Linked DNA regions of Bombyx mori. The main gene of each other region encodes a partner of the protein of the gene in region 2 in a complex. Links are inferred from orthologs where the notes say so. Each region holds a gene or a part of one and is shown on either strand. Other genes may lie near its edges. The genes, in order: integrator complex subunit 9 and integrator complex subunit 7.

Evidence for each region.
Region 1: integrator complex subunit 7 (region 2) and integrator complex subunit 9 share a complex: the UniProt entries of both Homo sapiens proteins name them as parts of the integrator complex. The link is inferred for Bombyx mori from reciprocal best matches to the Homo sapiens genes INTS7 and INTS9.

What each region holds. Positions count from the first base shown.
Region 1 is NC_085111.1:136,562-139,382, reverse strand, and holds the end of integrator complex subunit 9, read left to right. Parts: intron 1-1,445; coding exon 1,446-2,113; 3' UTR 2,114-2,299; downstream 2,300-2,821. UniProt on the Homo sapiens protein: Component of the integrator complex, a multiprotein complex that terminates RNA polymerase II (Pol II) transcription in the promoter-proximal region of genes.
Region 2 is NC_085129.1:14,670,724-14,674,659, reverse strand, and holds the start of integrator complex subunit 7, read right to left. Parts: upstream 2,559-3,936; 5' UTR 2,428-2,558; coding exon 2,340-2,427; intron 2,267-2,339; coding exon 1,852-2,266; intron 1,513-1,851; coding exon 1,400-1,512; intron 1,259-1,399; coding exon 1,125-1,258; intron 875-1,124; coding exon 686-874; intron 558-685; coding exon 400-557; intron 1-399. UniProt on the Homo sapiens protein: Component of the integrator complex, a multiprotein complex that terminates RNA polymerase II (Pol II) transcription in the promoter-proximal region of genes.

The DNA.
Region 1 (2,821 bases), on a different chromosome or scaffold from region 2:
AGACATTTTTGTCCACCTTGAGATTTCATTGATCTTGTTACATGTCTGCAAAATCAACTTACTTATATTAAATTGCTTATCTATTTCAAATAAAGACTTATTCCCAATTTCGCTTCGAATAAACCAGATTTTTACCAACAAATTTAAAAAATATTGTTATAACTACATAGACAACCCTACAAACCTGTACCTATTTATACTTAGGTGGTTTCCATTTCACGTATTCTCATCCCAATTGACCCCTTTTTCGTTGTTATTTGCACCTAAGACGTCCCCAATATCCCCAAAAACAACAGATTTTTACATGTATTTTTATTTAATCAAATACATTAAAACCAATAACAACTGAGACTTACTTTTAATATATATTCTGGTTCAAACACTAAATAACGTTTATAAATCATAGTCGTCTTCTATTATTATCAAATAAATAAAAGAGAGCAAAGTTTCTAGCACTAAAATAATTACCACCACAGGAAGTTAATTTGAAACGCGATTTTTTATAAGTTAGCAGCTATTCTACTATTAAACTACAAAAAATGGAAGATTTTGTAACGAATATAAAACTTATATTGAGCATCGAAAGATTTTCCCGGTTTTTTCCCGATTCGCCTCTCAATCCCTAATCGCCCCATTTTACCGGTACTCGTTTTGTATCTTCGACGCATTTTGAGTGTGTATCTATCGGGCTGTTTTTATATTTTCAACGATCACTGCTTTATTATTACGGATTCCAACTCTGCCAGCGTTGTATGACAATTGCTTCTACACTGTACACCGAAGATCGCTCACACGTTTGACTTGAAATTGTTGCATTGGATACTGTTGAAATTATGGATCGCTGTGTGAATTGTGGGATAGCAATTCCATATTCCATACCTGATATATATCATTGATATTCATTCATAATATGACATTTAAAAGGTTATCCAATGGATATAATAAACATTTACTTATGCTTAAATAAGTTATTATTCAGCTCTTTTAAAGAGATTGTAACATAATCTAACTTTTACTAAATCTTTATTAACTCGGCTTTCAGATTGAGAAAACTTTTATAATTTTCAGCAAGGTACTGATAAATCTGAATCTATTAATTCATATTAGTTTCATCACGTTACATTCGGGCCCAAAAATGTATGTAATCGTTTCAGTCTCCTTTCTGTACACTAAACGAAAATTTCGTAGATCCAATATTGCAATAATATGGGCACACTACATTTTATTAAAATGTAAGTATATGGTATCCGAACCTATTCTATTTGCATTTAATCAATTAGTAGCACAATCGGGCCCGGCCGGGACCTCTTCACGCGATTCTATTTATTTTATTAAAAATATCTATCTATAGAGCCCAACTGTGAGACGATCAGTCGAAATCCGCAATAATTTTTTTTTGTTACTCTTGTATTTATTGTTTATTGTACGCAAGTGTCATATTGCAGAACCGGACTTCCCGTACACGGAGGCGCTGGCCCCCTTCCAGCCGCTGAGCATGAAGGCCTTCCACTGTCCCATCGACACGTCGCTCAACTACTCGCAGGCCAACAAGCTGGTGCGCGAGCTGCGGCCGCGCGAGCTCGCCCTGCCCGAGCAGTACGCCGCGCCCGGGCCCGCCGCCGCCGCCGCGCGCCCGCACATCGCCGCCGACGTGCCCACCGTGGTGGTGCGGCGCGGCACGGCGCGGCGCGTAGGCGGCCGCCGCACGCTGGCCCGCGGCACGCTCAGCGGCAGCCTGGCCGCCCGCCTGGCGCCGCGCGACCTCCGCGCCGGCCTGCGCGCCGCGCCCCTCCGCGCCGCGCTGTCGCTGCGGGACAGCCGCCTGCACGTGCACTCGCCGCCGCCGGGCGCGGGCGGGGCGGGGGGCGCGGAGGCGGGCGGGCGCGTGGAGTGCGGCGCGCCGGACGTGGAGGCGCTGGTGCGGGAGCTGCGGCGCGCGGGCGCGGAGGAGGCGCGGGTGGAGCGCGGCGCGGACGGCTGCATCGTGCACCTGCCGCGCCACGACACGCTGGTGCACGTGGACGCGCACGCCACGCACGTGTTCTGCGAGGCGGGCGCCGACCTGCGCCTGGCGCTGCGGCAGGCGCTGGCGCTCACCGTGCCCACCATATAGCGCCGCGCTCCACCCGCGTGCGTGTGTTCAATCAACAAATCGAACCGTCGATAAAATTTAAACAAAAAATTAAATATTCATTTATGAAGTCGTTTATGAACTTTCTCAATATATTTTTAATGTGAAAATCAAAATTTACAACACAGCTTTATTTGTAAAAAGGAAAATAAATGTGTTTATAACGTATCATTTTTAATTTTTTCGAAACCCTCGTGGACATGTGTATAGGAACAACGCCATGGGCTCTGTACCCCCCGCACGCGTAGCGAGATGTCTTACTCAATAAAAAAGATTTTCTTTTCCTCGTGCGACAATCTGCTTTTTGCGACGCCGCTGCTGCCAGTATGTAGTTTTTAAAAATCTTCCAATGTCAGCAACTTTGTTATATAAATGGAATGAAGTTGATTTATTTACAGCTAATCGTTTTATATAAAATAAAATGAATCTAAATAAAGCCAGATGAGACGAAATGCAGTAGTGTCAGTACTGCGGCGGCGGGTCAGTCAGACCTCCCTGCCCGGCCGGCAGCCCGCGCACGCTTCACGAGCCGCCGCTGCTACACGCTGCGACCGGGAGAACCCCTAAACTAACAATATTGAACAGGTCCCACAGCCGCGCGCAGCCCCCCGCACCGTGCTCCCTGCCCCCCCTGCTCTCTACCCCCGCCGCCCATATCCCGCTGAAAGCCTTTAACACGTCTTTACTTTT
Region 2 (3,936 bases):
TATGTATATTGAAATTGAGATTTCAAGGTAATAGTAGTTCAAGGTATATTAGTGATATTTAACTTTGTACGATAATAGGTTCCATACAGCCATATCTCAACAAAGTAAACAGATTTGTTTATTTATGCCCTCGTTTAGTAACCAAGAGCCTAAGAGATGACCTGGAAGATGCTAGTCATTATACATTTTAACAGGTGGCAGGATGTCTTGTAAGTCCATATGGGTAGGTACCACCACCCTGCCTATTTCTGCCGTGAAGCAGTAATGCGTTTCGGTTTGAATGCATCAAACTCATGTCTCAAGGTGGGTGGCGGCATTTACGTTGTAGATTTCTCTATAGACGTGGGCCGTGAGCTCGTTCACCGATTTAAAGCAATAAAAAAAATTATGAATAGTCACCAATGAACAACGATCCTGGTGAGGACATCCGCAGCGGTTGCGGCTTGCTTCAAGTCAGCACTGAGAGCGGCTTCACTGCAGTACTGCCTCAGGGCACTGTACTCGCCGCGCTGAGGACACCCTGCCGTGGCGCACACTGCTGGGCACTGCACCAGAATCTAGAAGGATAAATTGTCATGTAATCTCCTTGAATAAAAACATGCATTTTACCAATTATAATTAATACTTTTAAGTGAGTCCTTTTTTCAATTAAATAAAGCACAGTGAGATATCTTATTGTTATTACCTGCATTACTCGAAGGCACAGCATAGTGTGGTCAGTGTCTCGACTATCGCTAGCGGCTCTGACCAGGTTCTGTATACAGTGTGCGGGCCAGAGAGCTGCATTCTCAGCCAACTTCTTGAGGCCAAGCAGTGCGGAACGACGTACGGCTGATCGGGCGTCATTCATGGCTATATTTAGCAGTAGTTCAACCTATAACATTAAAAGCACTGAAGTTTTTAATAGACCTAGTAATGTTATAGTGAAGTAATAAGCTTGATTGTAGTCCGAACACTATGAATGCATCTTTCTTCTTATGAGCTTTAAAATGACTCCTTAAGCAGTGATTTGATACTGCACTAAACATTGCTAAGCCTATAAGTTATGGTAACCACGTCTGATCAGGGCTTCACTTTGTGCTTCTGCAGTGACTTTTTATAATCATATAATGAATCATTCTTACCTGATCAGGAACATGAACCACTGTATCTGAAGCTATATGTGTGAGTGCAGTGATTGAAGCTCGCACCGAACTTGACGAAGGAAACTTGTCTAACAATGATCTCAATAATTTCAAAACTCCTTGTGCTCTGATTGCTAGAAAACAAAAAAAAAAGGTTAAGTGTAATTCTAAATTACTTATTAGGTGGTTGGTTTATCAACTTTATTTTTATACATGTTTAAGAATAAAGAAATTAATTTGAATAAAGGTAGGTAACTAGTAAAATTCCTGATTACCTCCACCATGAACGGTCCTCAGGGCTCTGACAAGTTTTGCTCGTCTCTCAGCAGCAGTGCCCTCACTTTCCACCATATCTGATAGCTTATTGCACATGGCTACTGCGAATGAACTAAAACACATCACAATATGAGAAAATACAAGTACAAAATATGCATTTAAAAGTTTGAGAGACAATTAAATAAGCAGTTTATACTTCTGGTAATTAGTAATACTTAGTTATGGTTTGGATTTTTTTTTTTTTATTGCCTTTGTAGGCAGACGGGCATACGGCCCACCTGATGGTGAGCGGTTACCGTCGCCCATGGACTTCAGCAATGCCAGGGGCTGAGCCAAACCGCTGCCTACCATTGCATTGGATGCATTGGATACTTTTTATTAAGTACCTATTTGGTTAACAGATTAAATTTTTGCCTCAATGACAGTTTTTGCAGCTTATGACGGCACTTACTTGGAGTGGGCAGCAAATCTAGTAGTAGCATATATAGCAGCATCAACTTCAACATTGTCATGGCTATCCAAGCCCCTTCGGATTGCGTGATGTACATTCTGGCGCTCTGGGATAATACCTGCTACTGCACCAAGCGTTCTCAGAGCGAGAGCCCTAGCCACCGGATCGTTTGAGTGTAGAACACTAAAGATCCTCCTTAAGAACTCGTCTACGTTCAGAATCTTATCTAGGTGCTTTTCGCTTTGTTGACAGACTCTCAAAACCCAGAGTCTCAAAAAATTGTTACCCATACGAAAAACGTCAGACAATTTAAGAAAAGATGAATTAATTAATATAGGGAAAGGATATTTTTCGAAAAGACGAGGGAACCGGACGATGGCTTCACATTGCTCTCCTACTTTGCACGACCGTAGGCCTGGAGAAAAAAACATTTTTTATTTTGTTTTTTAAATAAAAGTTTTCTAGGTATTAGTAGAGGTTATATTTACCTTTATCGAGCTCGGTCAATGCTGAATTTGCATCTTGTTCAGGCTCCGCCGAATTGTCGTTGAATGTATTCATTTTAACACCAATCATTATCCGTTTAGGTTATTTAATAAGAATAATTTTAATTTATTTTGTTTTGATTGTTTATGTAAACACCCAACGTCGTGTATCATAGAGTCGTGTATTATCTACCTAAGGTGTATACCTAATCTATGGACCTAATGTCTACAATAGTGTTGTCGAATGTTGATTTACTTTTAATCGATCCTTTGCGTGCCACAAATCTCATTACTCGATTCATCGCATCAATTCAATTACAATCATAGTGTCACTAATACAAATACATATTTCATTACAATTTAGATTACAATGCCAAATTCGCATTCTTTCAACGTTTGATTGCCTTCATTGTAATAGTTGAAAACTACCCATTCAGTTTCCGAATAGATAAATTTCGCACATTTAAAAACTATCTTAGTAAAAACCTAAAAAATGATTTGATTCAAACAAATGATTTTCTCTTTCTTTTCTCTTTTACTATCATAACCATATTTATTTAATAAACACAATACATTACATTATTATATAATATTATTATATTTATGTTTCTAATCGATACATTCAAAACATTTGTTTGGCGTGAAACATCGATGTATTTCTTCGTGATGGTCCTATTTTTTTGTACATTTTATGGTCTGGTACCGCGATCTTTATATCATCACCGTATTTGTCTGTTTGGGATTCTGAAGCATATAATTGATAATATGAAGTGAAATGAAATGAAGATGATTAATTTGAGGCATCAATCAACTGGGATGAAATGAAAGGAAATGAGATGAAATGATATGGGATGAAATATAATCTCAGTAAAATAGTGGTCATTCACTGAGATTCTTTCAGACTTTTTGGAGGATCCCGAGAAGTTACGTCCAGCGGCTTTGTTTCATTTTCCCACATTTGTGCACTGTCACAGATATTAAACAGTTAATAAATCACCGTTATTATACATTTAAACCTGAAGAAAAACTAAATAGACAAAATAAAACAAAATATCACACAACTTCACTCCTCACGTTCCCGCTAAAAAGTCGAAATAGACTGATTATAGTTTGGCCAATAAGTTAGGGGTAAAATATCCATAATTCGCATAGAAAATATTTAATAAATGTACACAAGTACGTACGGCTGATTTTTCAACAGGGAAAAAATTGTAAACAAAACTTCTTTTTTGTTTTGAGCGACATCTATCGCCCATTATGGGTCAATAAACATAAAAACTAGAGTTTTAAAGTACATTGGCAACTGACAACAGATGTCAGTATGGTCCTTGTTTTTAGTTTACAGGTACTGAAATACTATGGTCTGTAAATATTCAATTATATTTAACGAGAAAACTCCGCTTTTCGGGTATTTTATGTCTTGATATATTTACATTTATATTGCCGCTTAGAATACTGCCATCATTAGTTAGAAATTGGATTTAATATGTATCACTGAAACGAAAATTGGTTACCAGATTTTGAATATTACCGTTTTAAAAATTAAAGATCGATAACACAAAGTTTAATTCATGCAAATGTGCTGTCTATTTATAAATAT